Linked DNA regions of Oryzias latipes. The protein of the gene in region 3 interacts with the protein of the main gene of each other region in a biochemical or structural test. Links are inferred from orthologs where the notes say so. Each region holds a gene or a part of one and is shown on either strand. Other genes may lie near its edges.

The links.
Region 1: the proteins of ube2m (region 3) and DCN1-like protein 5 form a complex in vitro, tested with the Homo sapiens proteins (3 studies listed by BioGRID). The link is inferred for Oryzias latipes from reciprocal best matches to the Homo sapiens genes UBE2M and DCUN1D5.
Region 2: the proteins of ube2m (region 3) and dcun1d3 form a complex in vitro, tested with the Homo sapiens proteins (4 studies listed by BioGRID and IntAct). The link is inferred for Oryzias latipes from reciprocal best matches to the Homo sapiens genes UBE2M and DCUN1D3.
Region 4: the proteins of ube2m (region 3) and dcun1d4 form a complex in vitro, tested with the Homo sapiens proteins (3 studies listed by BioGRID). The link is inferred for Oryzias latipes from reciprocal best matches to the Homo sapiens genes UBE2M and DCUN1D4.
Region 5: the proteins of ube2m (region 3) and rbx1 form a complex in vitro, tested with the Homo sapiens proteins (15 studies listed by BioGRID and IntAct, with this or other methods). The link is inferred for Oryzias latipes from reciprocal best matches to the Homo sapiens genes UBE2M and RBX1.

Annotation. Positions count from the first base shown.
Region 1 is NC_019871.2:4,931,761-4,935,818, forward strand, and holds the start of DCN1-like protein 5, read left to right. Parts: upstream 1-1,252; 5' UTR 1,253-1,409; intron 1,410-3,852; exon of another isoform or gene 3,853-3,910; intron 3,911-4,047; 5' UTR 4,048-4,058. UniProt on the Homo sapiens protein: Contributes to the neddylation of all cullins by transferring NEDD8 from N-terminally acetylated NEDD8-conjugating E2s enzyme to different cullin C-terminal domain-RBX complexes which is necessary for the activation of cullin-RING E3 ubiquitin ligases (CRLs).
Region 2 is NC_019877.2:9,527,791-9,531,305, forward strand, and holds part of dcun1d3 (DCN1-like protein 3), read right to left. Parts: coding exon 3,202-3,515; intron 1-3,201. UniProt on the Homo sapiens protein: Contributes to the neddylation of all cullins by transferring NEDD8 from N-terminally acetylated NEDD8-conjugating E2s enzyme to different cullin C-terminal domain-RBX complexes and may play a role in the cell cycle progression by regulating the SCF ubiquitin E3 ligase complex, after UV damage.
Region 3 is NC_019866.2:195,054-199,192, reverse strand, and holds the start of ube2m (NEDD8-conjugating enzyme Ubc12), read right to left. Parts: upstream 2,808-4,139; 5' UTR 2,619-2,807; coding exon 2,504-2,618; intron 1,558-2,503; coding exon 1,463-1,557; intron 700-1,462; coding exon 661-699; intron 593-660; coding exon 489-592; intron 404-488; coding exon 340-403; intron 1-339.
Region 4 is NC_019862.2:1,336,461-1,339,286, forward strand, and holds part of dcun1d4 (DCN1-like protein 4), read left to right. Parts: intron 1-952; coding exon 953-1,044; intron 1,045-1,170; coding exon 1,171-1,279; intron 1,280-2,826. UniProt on the Homo sapiens protein: Contributes to the neddylation of all cullins by transferring NEDD8 from N-terminally acetylated NEDD8-conjugating E2s enzyme to different cullin C-terminal domain-RBX complexes which are necessary for the activation of cullin-RING E3 ubiquitin ligases (CRLs).
Region 5 is NC_019866.2:19,409,120-19,413,203, reverse strand, and holds rbx1 (E3 ubiquitin-protein ligase RBX1), read left to right. Parts: upstream 1-1,450; 5' UTR 1,451-1,686; coding exon 1,687-1,764; intron 1,765-2,765; coding exon 2,766-2,844; intron 2,845-2,994; coding exon 2,995-3,065; intron 3,066-3,207; coding exon 3,208-3,293; intron 3,294-3,402; coding exon 3,403-3,415; 3' UTR 3,416-3,580; downstream 3,581-4,084. Other genes in the region: chondroadherin-like protein, read left to right, coding at 60-351. UniProt on the Homo sapiens protein: E3 ubiquitin ligase component of multiple cullin-RING-based E3 ubiquitin-protein ligase (CRLs) complexes which mediate the ubiquitination and subsequent proteasomal degradation of target proteins, including proteins involved in cell cycle progression, signal transduction, transcription and transcription-coupled nucleotide excision repair.

The DNA.
Region 1 (4,058 bases), on a different chromosome or scaffold from region 3:
TCAAAGGCTGTCTTCACACAGTTTGAGCTATTTTGATGTTCATATAGCCCTAATACTGTGTGTCAGTTACCCTCTTTTTGTCTGCATAAATTCGCAGATCCAACACATAAAGGTCACTTTTGGAATGTGTGTGGTTTCCTATGTCACATTACAGCCCTTATTCTACATTTACTGAAGGTTTGATGATTGTTGTTTGAATATCACCCTGTTCTAAAAGAAAGTGACATTATCAGATGATTTCTGGCAGGTTTAGTAGTTGCAGAAAGATTTCTTTTCTTTAGGGTAACTGCATTTTGAAAGTATATCTAGATTACAGAAAACGGATCACTACTAAAGAATTTTCCTTATGAGGTTTTTATTTAAATAAAAAATGTTGATATTAGTGATTAATACAGTCAGGTCCATAAACATTGGGACAGCAAGTCCCAGCATTTCAAATCCATTGTGGTGGTGTATAGAGCCAAAAATGTAGGAATTGTGTCGCTGTCCCAATATTTATGGACCTGACTGTAGCTTGCCTACAATTGGTATAATATAGTTAAATAAACATAAATATAATTAGAGATGTCCACAGAAGTAGGAAATTTTTCATGTAAGTTCTTCATTTGGGGTGTTAAGAAGTGACATTACTGTCCACTGAAGGTTGGAGGATTACATATTTAAAATTTACTCATCTGAATTAATAGAAAACAGTTTTGTACATTCATACGTCAACGTAAAACCTCAGTGGGGCACCACAAATCCTCCAAAACACAATCTTGACAACATATTGGACATAGTAGTAGTCCCCAGTGTCCCCCAGATATGGTCTCAGGGTAAAATAATCTGCTTCCTATTAAATACAGAAACTGTTTTATATGAAAAGTGTAAATAAAATGTGTGAGTAGTTTTCTCTAAGTCTTGCTAGTGACAGACATGATAATAAAAATTAATAACAGATACTCTGATATTCAGAGATGAGTGGATCTCTGATACTAAATACATACACAATCCCTGGTTTAGAATTGAGTAAAAAAAAACTCAACCAATTGAAATCAGTTTAATTTTTCAGTCATGTCAGGTCTCCAATAAATCAGTGAAAAGGGTCTGGGCCCCTTTAAGATTTATTGCACGTTCCAACTTGTTTCTTGTAGGGGAACGTCTTTTGTTTTTGTTCAAAGCGCTTACTTTTTTTACATAATTTTTTAAAATATATTTTCTGCTCTTATCTTAGTGTATTTTGTTTTTACACGTGTCATTTGATAAAGATGAACTGATTTAGTTTTATTTCAAACCAGTAAGTATTTATTTCGCAGTACACCCCTGCAACAAAATGGTACTGCCCACTCCCACAGAAACGCCGGGATACCGGCTAAAGAAGAAACCTATTAGAAGCAGGTGGAATCTGTGTCATACGAGACCTGAGCAACGTAAGTGTTTAAAATTGGTTCAATGATTTCATTTAATGACTCATTGGTTTTTAACGTAGACCTCTTTTTTATATTTAATCAATCATACGATTATATTGTGTAAATGTACGACACATCAGTTAATAAAATAGCCGACTATAGTGTAGAGTAGCACCGAGGAGCCGTTAGCCTTAGCTACCAAACAAAAGAAGTCTGTTGAGACCCAGATTTGATTATTTGTCATACGTTGGGGACACCAACAAACGTCTGTCTGTCTCGTAGTTGTTTTTTAATGACTTTTTAGTCGAAAAAACTCACTTGTTGCTGGTAAACTTGATTTTTTTCATTCCCCCGTGTTGAGGTTAGACGCGAAGCTAATGTTAGCTAAGCTACGACAGCAGTAGGGTGCTGTACGCTGCAGTATTGAATCTAAGCATTTCGGTCTTCAGCCCCTACTAGGAGTTTTGTATTGTCTTTATTATGAACACAAAAAAATTGCAAAATTTGTACTTTCAGCGTGACCTCTGTGCTTGTATTTAGGGGGGGGGGGGGGGAATGCCAAATCAAATGAATAGTGACGCAGTTTCTTTTAAGGTTAGCGTTTTAACGGTTAACGTATGAAATTCGAAAGGAAGTTCATTCTTCAACAGTTTGGATCATATTTGGTTGAGACGTGTGTGTGCGTATATGTGTGCGCGTACATGTATGTGTATGTGTTGTACTGGACGCCATGAATCCAAATGTCCACATGTTCCAGTTTGAGGGGCCAGTCTGTCACCCTGCTCCAAAGGCTTTTAGGGAGTAAATCATGGCAGAAACATTGGTGTGAAAATCCAATGTCACGCTGTGATTTGCTTGTTCTAACGTGTAACGACAATAAGGTATTCCGATTATGACCTGCAGACATGAAACTGGTAATCACAGCTGTAAAGTCAATATTTGAACCAACCGATGTCACAGTAAAAGACTTTGACTTATTTTTAACCCAATAGGAGCCTTGTATGACTTCTATATCTGGATTACATGTCAAGTGATGACATGTTACTTGAACAAAAACAAAATGAAAAAGGAGTTTTCGGATCATTGTGACCTGTGGCTGGGGTTTAAATACACATGTGGTGTTGTGAGTGTACATACTGTAAATACATAGGAGGTTTTTGTTCTTTAAGGGACCGGCTGACTTAAGCCTCTGTATGATTGACCTTTTCCTCAATCCTTTTATAAAATGTAACTGTCAATATTCTTTCTGTTTTGCTGGTATTTTGTGAAATTTGACACTAATGTTAACTTTCAACTGCAGTAAGGCAGATATCTAAAAATAAATGTTGTTTAGTTACGTTATAGAGCATGCTTTTTACATTATTTAATATCTTTGAATCTATTTGAAAGACCAGATTTTAAAAACAGAATGACTATATGGTACTTTGTGAATTGATGGTTTAGCTTTTTTTTTTTCTTTTTGAAGATACAAAGCTCTTGGAGTCTTATTTTTAGGGTTATGGTATGGTTCAGTGCTTTTCTCTGTTTGATATTTAAAGACTTACCCTGATGAGAATTGGGGTTTTGGTGATTTTAACATGCTCTTGTGGCATTCATTCTCCTATTATGAAAGTGAAGCTCAAAGTTGCATTTCTGAGTATTTATTTTTAGTCAAATTGTTGTCGTTCGTGAAACCTTGGTTCAGTTCCGGGCTGCTCCCTATTCCCTTCTCTGCTCCTGTGCTGGTCCCAAGCCTGGTGGGATTGAGAGGGTTGCGTCAGGAAGGGCATCCGGCGTAAAACATTGCCAAGTTAACCATGCGATTCATCCTCCAGGGAGGGTTGTTTCGCTGTGGCGACCCCTGATGGGAGAAGCCGACAGTGAAAGAAGAAGTTGTGAATCAGGAGAAGACAAAAAAAAACTGTTTGAAAATATCTTTTGTGGCGTAGAAAGCTCCATCCTGATGCATCCACGTATAGATGTTCAGATCGTCAGACGTCTTTGTTTTTCTCGTTCGAGCTGAGATCTGGCTCAAAACTGTCTGTCTGGGTAGCTTCAATATTTTTTGCCTTTTTTGTTTCACCTGTAATGTTGGGCTGTTTGTGTGAAGGGCTGTAAACTACCTCAATATAATGTAAACAGAAAGCTCTCAGCAATAGGGGGAGCGGGGTTGCTCCGTGCCTACAGTCCTGCCCACAACTAAGAAGGGAATTTCTAATGAACTCCTGCCGCTCATAGAAACTATGAACTTGAAAACAACGGAGGTTAATTGATTTTGGCTAAAAATTGCATAATCATAATTCAAAGAACACTATGAACGCTTTGACAATAGATCAAAAGATAATTGAACCCTTTAGATTTAGCACAAATTTAACACAAATAAAGCGTTTTAAGGCAGCCTCTTTTCATTCTGCTAGTTTTAAGTTGCAATAAAGCTTGCAGTTTTATAGTTCCAGCTAACAGTTGCTGTTTGTGTGATTTTTAGAAACGACTTAAGCAGTCTGGCAGATCTCGGGGCAGTTTCAGAAAAACTGGACAAGCTAGTGAGTCCTGCTAACAGTTTTTGTATTGATTTGAAACAACACAGTACATCTTTTACAATTTGTCGTTATAACAAAGATGAGGCATGTTTTGTGTATTTCTGTCATACTTTCTTTTTTTGTTGTTGTTGTTGTTGCAGCATCTTTTAGA
Region 2 (3,515 bases), on a different chromosome or scaffold from region 3:
TTTTAAAACATACAATCCAACTTATTCACAACTGTTTTAATATAAATTGAGCCATGATTTCCGACAGGCGAAGGGAAATGCCAACAATAACAACAAAGAAAGGAAACTTAAAAAAAAAAAGAACCTTCTTGCTGTTCAAAGTCTGCTTTAAAAGGGACATCAAGCAAAAATATTAGAATTATAAGGATTGCCGATGTGTGTGTGACTTTTTTTTTTTAACTATAGGTAAAATTCATCTCAAAACTCAGTTTATTCTTCACAAATAAAGGATCAAAACTGACCAATTAGGTTTGAATTTCTCCACCTGTATTGTTTTCACAGAAACGCTGCAGACTTTCCCTTGAAGACTGAACAAATATCTCTAAAACAGGTTTGCCGTTTTTTTTTTTTGACATGGCTGTTCTGAGAAAAGAGATGAGGTTCTAGAAAGAACCACCTCAAAGTTCAATAGAGCAGAACAGGTATGCACTACTGTTCCGTTTAGCTGGCGGCATCTTTATTGAAAAAAATGAATTAGGGGCCCGGTAAGATGAAACGCTTCCTCACAATAGCAGAGGACCTGAAATATATCTGGTATAAACAAATATATTCATTCTAAATCAAGCGATACTGCATCCACTTACACTCTTACAGAAGGATCTTGAGAATAAATAAGCTAGGTTTCTTCTTCAGTATAGACATTTTTTCCATCTTGCAAGCACTTAATGAAAGATTATAATAAAAATACAAAACAACTGAGCAGAGTTACAAAAAAATAAAAATAAAGGAATAACTGCAGCTGTAGAAAAATAAAAAACTCAAAAAAATCTGCAGCAACAGTTTGGTTCTCCTGAGTGGTGACTGTTTGCTTCCTCTTCTCATAAATGTGACAGCAGTTGAACAGTGATCAGAAATTTAATTTTAATCGACCTAGAAAAAGAGTACATTCCAGATTTTCCAGGAAAATAAAAAGTTACCAAAAATGAATCGCTTTTTATAAAATGAAGTTTGCTTTACTTTATTTCTTAACTGGAAGGAAGTTTGTTAGCCAATAAAATAATAATAAATCCCAACAGCAGTTTGAGTGACAGCTCTATCAGCAACTTTTGGTGCCACAGTAGCTTTAAGGAACCTTACCCTCAGTGCTTGCTATTAATTTGTGCCTTTCGTAGCTTAATTTTTTAGAATAAAGTTTTTTCCCTTCAAAATTACCTAATAAAGATATTTGGAATGGTTCCCAACAGTGACCGGCGCAGGTAACTGTGGTCCTTGACAGAAGAACGGACCTGTGCATCACATTGGAGGAACAATAACCTTCAAAAAATGGAATGGTTGCTAAATTAGGAGAAATAAACTGAAGACTACTGGCTTTGATTTGCTGCTGGCTTTCTTTTAAATACCAGCTTTTAATGCTGTGTTGCAACATCTATAATTTGTCAGTAAAGTAATGAGCCTTCAGCAGCTGGCAGGGAAACAGCAAAGGAAGAAGAGGACGCCACTGCTGATGCTAAAGTGTGCACATTCATCTGCACGCAATTTAAACACAACATCAACCCAAAACGTGATGTATCAAAGCTTCTCAGAATTATAAAATGCACACATAGCAGTGAAAACTACAAAACAGTTTAAGAGTATGTTTTAAATCAATCATCAAATACATTTGCAACCATGATGAAATGTACTGGCCTATTGGAGATCATTGTAGACTGAATACATTGCGTGATTTTTAAAGAATTTTTATGATGGTTCAGAAATCAAATATTTAAGTTTGTACAAATAAGCATTCTGTCCCTCACAGACCGGTTACTTTTTCTATAAGAAGCTCTTGTATCTCCCACTCATTGCCTGTATTAATGTCACCTGTCTGAACTGGTTATCTGTATAAAAGACACCAGTTCACAGCCATAAACAATTACACTGGAAAGGCCACAAGAGCTGTCTAAAGCCACCAGGGGCACAACTGTAGACTTGAACAAGACTGGGATGAACCAGTCTACAATAAACAAGCAGCTTGATGAGACGAGCTCAATTGTTGGTGCAATTATTCGAAAATAGAAGATAAACAAGATAATTGACAATCACCGTCCACCTAGAGCTTCCTGCAAAATCGTACCTATTTGGGTACAAATGAGTTTGAGAATGGTGAAGAAACGATTCTTGTGAACTGGTCAATGAGAGAGCTGGGACCACACTAACACACTACATCAGCCATACTGCACTACATCAGCCACACTGCACTGCATGATCCACAGGAGGATTGGGAGAAGATTGTGTGGTCAGAAAAAAAATATATATATTTATATAGTTCCATGGTATACATGTTGCTCTCCTTGTTTGGAAGAAAAAGAATGCTTAGTTGCATCTCAAGAACATCGCATCATACATTGCTCATGTGTCCACCCACATGCTTCACAGTGGGTGGACACATGAGCAATGTATGGTGAGATTTTGATCAAAAATCCAAATTCCATCAGTGAGGGCACTGATGGAATTTACAGAAAACTCATTTCAGGGTATTGGAGTGACCTAACTAGCCTCTAGACTCTTTGTGTCCAACAGAGAATCTGTGGAAAAGTTGAAAGTCTGTGTTGCTCAGCGACAGCACCAAAACATCACAGCTCTTGAGAAGATCTGCATGGAAGAATGGAACAAAAAGCAGCTACCGTCCAAGTCTGGTTAAAGACATCCAGGGGACATTTAAACTGACATTGCCAACCAAGATTTAAGCACTGAAATGAACTTTTGTAGTCAGAATACTTATTATACGAACTAATTGTTTAAAACTCATACAATGAATCCCTGGATTCTTCTTTTTAACATTATGTCTCTCACCTATGATGAACATTACAGACCCTGTCTTTTTAGGTGGACAAGTCACAGGTGACTGAAAAATACTATTTGTCTCATTGTGTTTACTTGTCTAGAGCTGTACAGTCACAACTCCTGTGAACAAAAATCACTGATGGTGGGAGAGCAGCCATACAAGGGAACTAGCCAGACCACCAGGAGCAAAGTAGGGTCCCATGTCTTGCCCAAGGACACTGACATTTATAGGCAGGTAAAGCAGGAACTAAACCCACAATCTTACAAACCAATCAGAGGTCACCAGCTCAACCTCATGGCACAGAGGTTGAGCTGCTGATCCAAAAAAAGAAAAGTTTCTATGATAGAGAAAAAAAACAACAACACATAAATCATTAGCTTTTCTAACTCATTCCTTACCTTGTAAACTTGCACATAGTGGCTGCTTGAAACCTCCAGGCAAGAACCAGAACACGAAACTCAGCTGGGTCCACACACAAATCATTGCAAAATCTCTCCATGCCTTCTTCCAATATGGCATCTTCCTGTTCATCCTTGTAGCAACAGAAGAGCTCCTCGATACGCCACATGGACAATCCATCTCCATTCACACGATCATCTTTGAGGGACTCCCCCATCAGTGATGGGAGGATGGGTGTCTCCACTGTAACATCAGGGGTTTTGGTGCCATTTGAAAGCTCACTGGTGGCTTTGCTACATGGAGCACTCAGCTC
Region 3 (4,139 bases):
AAGGTTCTTTAACCGTTCTACGGTGGAGAACCTTCTGGTCCAGTTCCAGCTGGAGTCTGAATCAAAGCAGGCAGAAGACCCGCCTCCACCGGTTCCAGGTTCTCTACGTTGGGCTGATCCCACTGGGTCCACTGTTCCCTAGCAGAACCGCTCTTCCAGATTGCTCCTAGATTTAGCTACGGAATGGGGGGGCAGCTAAGGCGTCCCCTTATCCAAATACGCCCCGCCCACTGACAGGAGTTTCCCAGTTGGGAGGGGCCCAGTGGGTGACCCTCCTGCAGTATGATTGGCTGACCAGCAGACCCCCCCCCCTCCCCCAGATCATGTGACGTGTCTTACTAGAAAGAGATACTGCAGACCGTAGATGATGGAGTTTATCGTCAGAACCGGCTTCCAGTCCTCTCTGTGGAGCAGAAGAGCACACATGAACCTCCAGAACCCCCCCCCCCCCCCCTCGCTGTTCGGATCTCCGGTTCTGAAGAACTGACCTGAGGATGTTTAGACAGACGTTTCCTTCCAGGTCAATGTTGGGGTGGTACACCATCGTCTCACACTTCACTTTGGGGGGGTCGTGGGGGTAACCCTGTCCTACCTGAAACACAAACTCTTATGATGTCTGCGAGCAGAGAAGGGGCGGGGCCAAATGACGCGTTTGCTGACCTTAAAGCTGAAGACGAACTTCCCTCCTTTGTAGAAACCCTGAGACAGAAACACAGGTTAGCTGCAGGATGCTGCCCCCTCCATGCCCCCCACTCTGCCTCAAAACCCCAATGTTGTGACATGGCTGTGGGGGGGCCACAGCTGAAGCAGCCACTTACAGGGCAGCACTACAAAATATGGAATCTATGAAGCATGGTGGCGGAGGACTAATGGTATGGGCTCAGAGCCTCCACCCCCAGAGTAATCAGAGTACTCTGGTATGACAGGCAAGGCTCAAACCCATGACACGCCCAGCCCCCCTGGAGACCCGTCTACCAAAAACTGGTTTTGCCTGCGACTGGATCCGACCAGCACCGCAGTGCCACATGAGTGTTCCGCCTGACAGCCCGCACTCTGGGTTTAGCTCTCTGTCTGTCATCTGTCTGCAGTTTAAATAAAGTTTTACATGAGGTCCCTGACGTGAACACAAGCAGCAGCAGGACTTTGACCAATCATCTCAGGGGAGAAGAATCACGGAGTGGATTCATGAGGAACATGATGATGAACAATCATGAAGAATTCCTTCTTTTTGCTTCCACTTGGTTTGAAATTCCCTCCGGGAGTTCAACAGGATACCTGGCTTTTATTCTGAAAATCCAGGTTAACTGCTGCTCTTTGAAATGCTCCAGAATCCAGCAGGAACACGAGGAACCTCGGCTACATGATGTCCATCTGTGGTCACATGACCCCCCCCCCCCCCCCCCACACACACACAGCCGAGTGTAAACGTGAACGTCTGCACTGCTAGGAATCAAACACGCACCTCATCCGGCGAGATGATGAGCCTGAAGTTGAGTAGGTCGTCATCGTCGGGGAAGCTGATCTCGCACGTCTTTGGCAGGTTCAGCTCGTTGATGTCTGGAACACAAACACCTGCCGTTCAGGATCCTTCTCTTCATCACAGGACAGCACCTGGAGGGTGCACCTGGAGGGCGCACCTGGAGGGTGCACCTGGAGGGCGCACCTGGAGGGTGCACCTGGAGGGTGCACCTGGAGGGCGCACCTGGAGGGTGCACCTGGAGGGCGCACCTGGAGGGTGCACCTGCGCACCTGGAGGGTGCACCTGCGCACCTGGAGGGTGCACCTGCGCACCTGGAGGGTGCACCTGCGCACCTGGAGGATGCACCTGCGCACCTGGAGGGCGCACCTGGAGCCAGCCCCACCCTACCTGAAATAGCTTCTAGCTCTGGACATCATACTATGTTTGCATTTAGGCTCTGCTTAGACATTTCAGATTGGACAATTAAATCACCCGAGTCCCCCCCCCCCCCCCCCCCCCACTCCTCCTGTTTGGTTCTGGCCAACTTCACTCCAGATTTGCCCCCCTGTCCCCGGTGGAAGGCGTGTACCCCTTGTGCTATCCTAGGCACTTTAACATTGGGAGTGGGGTCATCTAGACCCACTAGACAGTGGGTCATCTAGACCCACTAGACAGAGCTCTGAACCTTTTTTCTTCAATGATTTGTGATCTTCACTGGTGTCCATGGATTACATGAAATCTTTCCACCTTTATCCACCTTTGTCATGGTAGGGAGAACACCTCAATGGAAGGAGGGGGGGGGGTCATCTGAGATAGCACAAGGGTTAACCCCCCCACAGCTGCTCATCACTTTGTTTTCGAGGTTAGCCGTGGCTAACAGCTAGCAGCTAGGTTAGCATGCTAGCCGTTAGCCGGAACTGTCGCCGCTGCCGGCCCGGACTTCCCTCCGTCCGGGGACCGGAGCTGCCTGAAAGCGCGCAGACAGCAGCAGGCCCTCCCGGAGGACCGGCGGCGGTCCCGGGCCGGTGCAGAGGAGGAGCCCACCTTTCTGTATTCGGAGCTGGGCCGCGCTGGCTTTCTTCCCCCCGGCTCCGGCTCTGTTTCCTCCAGCAGATTCCTCGTCTTTCTTCTGCTGCTTTAGAGAAAACAGCTTAATCATCTTCACCTTTTGATCAGGGGGGGGGGGCAAGCTAGCGAGCCTTCGGGTTGCGCGGTCCCTCCAGGTCGTCTGGGACTGTTCGGAGGTTCGGATCGGTCCTAACAGCACCGGAACGTGGACGAAGCCGGCGCGTCTGAACGGGTCTCTGAACGCGGCAGCTGCTAGCCTGCTAGCCTAGCCTGTTAGCGGGGGTGGGGGGTGGGGTGGGGGTGGGTGTCATACGGACCCCCCCCCCCCCCCTGCTGTGAAGAAGTTCACTGGAAAAAATGTAAACAGAGAAAAGTGTAATAAAGTTGAAAAACATTGAAATGTTTCTGTTCAGATTTGGATCGAGCTTTAATTTAAAACGATGGAATTTTTACAAATATAAATAAAAATAACAAAAACAGTAACAACAAAAACTTTGCATACTTTGGTATTAATTGTACTTTTGACATTTTGCGTTTATTACTTTAATAATAGTCATTTTATTCTCTGGGTAACATTTTTCTGTTTCAAAAATTACTTTTTTTTAATTGTATGTTTCCTTTTTTCTGGGATCCTGAAGTACTCATTTCTCTGTGCGCGTGCGTTTAGGGGGTGCGTGCTCGGAAATAGTAAATGGACAGTTTTATTGCTGTTAAATTCGTGCAACAGTGAATTGATATTTCCCATAATGCCCTTTTCCACCCACTTCCCTGTTGTGACGTCACCAACAGAGGTGGGGCGTACATGCTGTCGCTCCCCATTTTTATTTACTTCATTTATTTATTTATTTTGCTGTTGCGTCTCCCTCCCACTCTGAGGCGGCGTGTGCGGTCACCTGCGTGATGTAATCAGTGCGGAGGTTAAACGTGTCAGGGCGGCGCGCGGGCTCCGGATCACGCTTCTCACGCCAACACTAGGCGCGAGAACAATAGCCGCGCACAGCGCTCACGCCAGCGGCTCCTGGCTGCGGGGGTTTGTGCGGGAGCGAAAGGAGCGGCGCCTGCGTGATTGCGGGGAAGGACACGCGGAGAAGAAGGCGTAAGCTGCGGGTAGAGAGAGATAGATCCACGCTGCAGAGAGAGAGGCGGAGTGCACGCGCATCCATCCGAGGCCTGATCACCTGATCGATATCGATCAGTTTCAGATCGATGTTTGGGTCCCGCGTGCGTCTCTGAGGCGGGGAGGATGGGTCGCGCGTGAGGGCTCCGGGGCCGCCGCGGCAGAGAGGTGTGCGGGGGGGTGTGATAAGGAAGCGGCGGAGCTAACGGGGCTAACCGGAGCTAACGAGGCTACCGTCCATTCTGATGAGCCACAGACGAGCATGCGCGCCCCAACGAACAGGTGAGAGACCGTTCGCGTGCGTGCGTGCGTGCGTGTGTGTTTGAGGGAGAGGGAGGGGGGGTCCATCTGTCCCGGTCCCTCCGGGGCTTCTGCACCCGGTACCAGGGGGAGCAGCCGCGGGGGGGCAGACAGCCTGCTAACCTGCTAGCGCATTAGCATGCCTTTCCCTCGTGATCAGGTGAAGTGAGGGGTGGGGGCGGAGGGTCATCACAG
Region 4 (2,826 bases), on a different chromosome or scaffold from region 3:
ATCACTTCATTTCATGGGCTCATAAGTAATTGGACAAATGAAATAACTGAAAACCAAATGGTCATTACTAATATTTGGTTGAAAAGCCTTTGTTGGCAATGACAGCCTGAAGTCTTGAACTCATGGACATCACCAGATGCTGGGTTTTCTCCTTCTGAATGCTCTGCCAGGCCTTTACTGCAGCGGCAAACAGTTGCTGTTTGTTTGTGGGCCTTTCTGTCTGAAGTTTAGTCTTCAACAAGTGAAATGCTGCTCAGTTGGGTTAAGATCAGGTGACTGACTTGGCCATTCCAGAATATTCCACTTCTTTGCTTTAATAAACTCCTGAGTTGCTTTGGCTGTATGTTTTGGGTCGTTGTCCATCTGGATTATGAAACGCCGTCCAATCAGTTTGGCTGCATTCACCTGGATCTACGCAGACAGTTTGTCTCTGAACACCTCAGAATTCATTGGGCTGCTTCTGTCCTGTGTCACGTCATCAATAAACACTAGTGTCCCAGTGCTACTAGCAGCCATGCAGGCCCAGACCATCACACTGCCTCCACCGTGTTTTACTGATGATGTAGTGTGCTTTGGATCAGGAGCTTCTCCACGTCTTCTCCATACTTTTCTCTTGCCATCATTCTGGTAGAGGTTAATTTTGGTTTCATCTGTCCAAAGAATGTTTTCCCAGAACTGTGCTGGCTTTTTTTAGGTGCTCTTCAGCAAAGTCCAATCTAGCCTTCCTATTCTTGAGGCTTCTGAGTGGCTTGCATCTTGCAGTGTACCCTCTGGATCTACTTTCATGCAGTCTTCTTTTGATGGTAGACTTGGATATTGATCCGCCTACCTCCTGGAGAGTGTTGTTCACTTGGTTGGCTGTTGTGAACGGGTTCCTCTTCACCATGGAAATGATTCTGCCATCAGTGATCTGATCTGAACTCTGCATCGGCTGTTTCCTGATTCTTCTCAGGTGGTGATGCTGGTTCTTGCATGGAAGCTGGATGCCCAGAGTATGGGATATTTCACCCTGCAGGAGTGGCTGAGAGGCATGAGCTCCCTTCAGTACGTCACTTCTGCATTTCTTCATTGTCCTCATTGGCTTTCAGATCTCCTCCTGGAGCTGATTTACCTCCATTTCCCGTGTTTTCTCTGTGACTGTAAGCTGATTGCATAAACTCTTGTTTGCAGGTGCGACTCCACAGAGAGGCTGAGGAACTCCCTGGACTACTTGAGATCTGTCCTGAACGACAGCACTAGTTTTAAGCTCATTTATAGATACGCCTTTGACTTTGCTCGGGTGAGTTTGACTAAAGCCTTTTCCACATTCCATTTCAGGTCTTTAAACTACGACGGAGATTTAGGGCCAGTTTACAAAAAAAATGTTTTTTTCAAATTATGACTTTAAAGTCGTAAATTTACGAGAAAAACGTCATAGATTACCGAGCAAAAAACACCAAAGTTTTCCATTTATTGGAGCCTAACTTGAAGATGAAATATGTGGAACCTTTTGTGAAGCTTTATTTCTGGAAAGGTTTAAAAAAAAAAGAGATTCTGAACCTTTTGATGACTCAAAATCAGATTATTGTCAGTGGAGCCGTCTTTCTGGGGTTCAGTGTCGCTAAAGCGGAGGTTCATATGTAAAATAAGGAGCTCAGAGACACGTTTGGGTGTAGAGGACCGCTGCAGCCTTTATTCTCCTTTTCATTCACAAACCCTGAAGTTCATTTGTCACATTACGTCATGAACCTGTCATCCAAACACCAATGCAGAGGTAAACAGTGTAACATACGCCCCCTCCTCCAGATGAAACGTCCCGTTTCAACTTAAAACAATAAAGAGGAATGAAAATAGTCTGTTGTATTAGCATTAGAACGTTGAAAATGACAAAAAATGCTGCTCCTCAGACGGAAGGATTGAAGTGGACATCTGCAGGGACACCGATGTCTTCATCAACGGCTGCAGAGATCCTGCAAACCCCCCATCAATAAATAAAACGTTAATAAATCATAAATCAAACAAATGAGCTTCCAAACATTTGGAACGTTATCAATAAACATTCAGCTCACCTGATCAACTACGTTTAGTCGGTCTGCTCTGCTGCTGCGAGGCGTTCACTTGCTGCTCTGTATGCTCACCTCCACTTTAATCTTGTAAAATTACGAGTTTTTTTCTTGTAAATCTACGATTTAAAATCTCGTAATTTTACTTTTTTTTTTTTTTTTTTTTTTTTTTTTTTGGTGGCCCTAAAACTCTGTCGTATTAAATGGATCAGAACACCAAGGCCAAACCCCAATGGCCTTCCTACCCCTTCAGCTGCTCCCTACCGTAACATTTAGCCTGCCAAGCGTGGAGATATGGGAAAATAGTGTCTTTAAATTCCGACATTACTACCACTTAATGATGACATCATCAATAGTCGGCGGTAGGTAATGCGCTTGTAAAATACATAACATCTCTTTTATAAATTTAAAAAGTTGTGTAAAAATAAAAATGGAATACTTAAATTTAAGTGTAAATTGAATTAACACTTAAGGTTACACTGTGCTTCCGAGCACACCCACAGGAAGAAACGCTTTCCCTTTTCTCCTTCGCGCCACAGCGCGATGCAGACCACCCTACCTGCGGAGGGACAGCAAACACGGGGTCACTACGTCTCCTCCTTAAGAAAAAACACTTTTAGACACCACTGAAGTCCCAAATAGCCCTAAAATTGGAGCAATAGGGAGGAGCCAGAGGGGTAGGAAAACAACTTGGATTCGGCCAAAATCTCTGAAAATGCCTTTTATTTGGAGGAAGAGTGAAGAGAGTGTCACTTCCTTGTTTTGCTGACAGTGAAAGAGCTCT
Region 5 (4,084 bases), about 19 Mb from region 3:
ACGGTCAGTAAGCTCACATAACTTTTTTTGTGTTTTTGTGTACTATCTTTGTGTTTCAGGTGGATGGAGAGTGTGAGATTTGAAGTTACAGCGACTTGCGGTAACCCTCCTGACCTCAGAGGTCAGCAAGTCAGAGACATTAATGTCTTCGCATCCTGCTCAGAAAACGCCTCCATTAAGCAGGAGGGCAGCAGGGAGCCGAAACTTTCTACAATAACCAAACCAGGTTCTTTGAAGCCCCCCAAAGTGAAAACTAGACCTGCGAAGTCGAAACTAAGCAAATCATCTAAGAAAAGGTTACAAAAAAAATCTGGGACTCCAAAAAAGACCATGAACAAGATGGCATTATAATAAAATGAATCATGTTTTGGTGGTTTCTTTACAAAGAGTTTTGTTTGGGAAAAAGTTCAACTTTTTTGTTTTTTTATTAAAACTGCTTCATACAACATGTTGTGTGCACTATCTTCATATTTTGTAGGCAAAGCTACTCTAAACAACAGAATACAACTTTTCAAAAAATATTAAAAGTCACAAAATATATAAGTTTATTGATCCTGTTGGCCTCCTGTCCGGCCTTCGCGGATTCGGATGGTTCAGGACGTCCAAAAATGAAATGTGCAGTTGGGGAAACGAAAAGACACAAGAGTTTGCATGAATTCTCAAACCTTTTGCAAAAACGGAGAGTTGGAAAAACATGACCTGTTAGGCTCTGTGGCTGTCCGCTCTCTCTGTCCTCAAGGCAAAAAGGCGTTTTTTATTATTAAGTAAGGGAAGATGAAAACATACAAAATACGTCAGTAGAATGGTGTGTTTCTGTCTAGTCTGCATTGCAGCTGTTATGGCTCCATAAACACTCCAGTACAGAAAGAAAGCAGAGACTGCAAGTCAAAAACAGGCCTACTGGTGACCTCGTCACATATTATCTGCTACTGAGGGCAGGAATCAAGCATATTTGTGCAGTACAATATACATGCAAAAATAGAATCCATTATAATAACAAGAAAATACAACATATAATAGAACCCCTGTAATGCATATTTAAAAGAACATAGAAAATATTATGGAACCCCTGTTCACCTCAACAATCGTCAAACATTAAAGTGTCTGTCAATTATTTTATTTTCAAATAATAAATAGCACGGAACACAAAAAGTAGGCCTGTAAGTTAACTTAGCATTAAATCATTTACGGCAGGATGCTAATAATTTTTAAAACCCGTTATATTCACCGTTTTGATGAATGAAGAAGTTCCTGTTTTTAAATTTTTCTTTTTAAAGAAATTGTTAAGCTGCAAAAATGTAGTTAACCTGTTTAGTAGATAGAATTCTAACAATATTCGAATTGAACGTGTGATCGGTGTCTTGATGGTACCTTAATAATTCTTGGCTGTGGCTTCAACATGGTTCCATGGTGTAATGGTTAGCACTCTGGACTCTGAATCCAGCGATCCGAGTTCAAATCTCGGTGGGACCTGAGATTTTTCTTCCACCCTCGTCTATGGAATCACTTACTATCTTCTTTAAAGTTGTGCTTATTTATTAATTAATTTATTTAATTTTTAAATGAAATTCATGTTTTGGTTGTTATTTTATTTCGTCTTTCCCGTCTCAGTCGGTTAAGTTAATGAACTTAACCGACTGAGACTGTTGCTACATCCGGACGGCTTTGTACAGACGACGTTTCAAGATGGCAGCAGCGATGGACGTTGACACACCGAGTGGTGCTAACAGTGGCTCAAGCAAGAAACGCTTCGAAGTTAAAAAGGTCTGATTTTATTTATTACCTGGTCAACTCTGGATTGGTCAAACACGTTTGCTATATAAAAGAAGAACAAAGGAGCCCTGTCTGTTTTAACCTCCTCTAGCTGGTTAACGACTCCTATTAGCATGTTCGATGTTGCCTAGCATAAAGTTAGCTTGCTTAACGAAAATGAATGTGCATTTCTAAATAATGTCATAACTTAGACCATGTTGTGATATTTACAAGATTACCTTCAGTCGAGCGTAACAGAAAAACAGCGTTTTTGAAATGGTAACGAGAGCTATAATCTTAATTCTTTTAATATTTGTTTTATTTTTGTGCTATTCGGATGCTAATTTAGCTTAGCATAAAGCTGAGGTTTCAAGATCTAGCAGCACATCATCTTTTTCTCTAATTTTAAATTTTTGTTCGTGTATTTCACATGTTAACCGATTTCTTTAGATTATTGCTATAAAGTTTTATATATATATATATATATATATATATATATATATATATATATATATATATATATATATATATATATATATATATTCCCTTAAAAGTGCTTATCTGATTTGTGCACCTGACAGGTGCAATTTGATATATTTATCTTTACTGTAAAAGGAAGCACTAAATCTTTCCTGTCAACTATTTTTAAAATGGGGGGAAAAAAAGTGTCATGATGACCAAAAACAAGAAAATAATTCAGGAACATGTTCTTTATATCAGCCATGTCTATCAAAAATGGCAGGAAGGAAATGCTAATATTTTTGATTTCCCTAAAATGTTTTAACATTCCGATCAGTGGACATGTTTAACAACTATATTTTGTTTTCTTTTTGTAATTCCAGTTGCTTATTTCTTTCGATCCTTTCCATTCAAAGTATTACAAGACATTATGCTAGATATGGTTAAAAAAAAGTCTGGAAACGTTGGAACGTTCTAAAACATTTAACTGGTGTATATAATCCTGGGTAACATAGATTAAACATGTGCTCATCTGATTGTTCTGTCCCCCTCAGTGGAATGCTGTGGCGCTGTGGGCCTGGGACATTGTTGTGGATAACTGCGCCATCTGTAGAAACCACATCATGGATCTCTGTGAGTTCACTTTAATGCATTCTCTGATAGCTTCCTGTCTTCATTTTGACTTCAAACTTTTAGCAGAATGAGTACTTCTAAGCTTCTACAAGCCCTTCTTCTCCCAACAAGTTTAGATTTCTGTGACACGTTGCATGTTTTCTTGATCAGGCATAGAATGTCAAGCCAACCAAGCATCTGCAACCTCAGAGGAATGCACAGTAGCCTGGGGGGTCTGCAATGTAAGTTTCCAATTAAATTGATGGAAGACTCAGATTATCTGTGTGTTTTCTGGAAGATGAAATGATGGATACCAATATGAGCATTTAGAGCTAAAGCCCTTAACATTTCTAATTTCTTTTTCACCTGTTTGTCTTCTTTTAGCATGCATTCCATTTCCATTGTATTTCCCGCTGGTTGAAAACCAGACAAGTGTGTCCCCTTGATAACAGAGAGTGGGAGTTTCAGAAGTAAGTTTGATTGATGTCATGTAGTTTTATTGATTACATTTCTGAAAGTACGATTTTCTTTAAAGTTGTTGCTTTAGACATTGCTAAGCTGTTTGTCATGTTTTCACAGATATGGACATTGAGTCGGCCTGCCGCTCACTTCCTGCAAGAATCAATTTCACTGCTTCTTCAATCCCAGCGGCTTGTATTATTTTCCACACTTTTGTTTTAGTATGTTGTAATTAAATGGTGAGCTTGTAAGGTAAAAAGTTTGAAATAATAAATGGAAAAAAACTGGGAATTAACCTTTCATTTGTGTTTTTGTTTTTTTAATACAGTTGACTTTAAATCACATTGATGTTGACAGCGCAGTAACCCTCTTTAAGGACACGAATCTTCAGTGTAAATTAAATCACCACCAAAATGTTTGACTTCTCTTTACCATAGTTTATTGTGGAAGCTGTTAGAAAAATGAGTTTCATCTATTTGTTAAATTCCACACATGACAGAATACTTCCTAAAGACCCACTCTGATGAAAATCTTGTTTTCTGGTGTTTTCAACGTGCTCTAGTGCCTTTTTCTGATGAAGGGCATAAAAGAAAACTAAGCTCAAATTTACGTTCCAAAAATAACCTGCGATTAAAAAAAAAAAAAAGATTCCAATGAAAAATATCCACACAGACTGAAACGTAAACTGCGATAGTCAATGAGCGGTAATTCTATATTCAGATGAAAAAAAGAGCTTTGTGATGAGATTCATGTGGTGGGCAACAAGCGCCCCGCTTTACAACGGGGAGGGGATGGGGCGGGT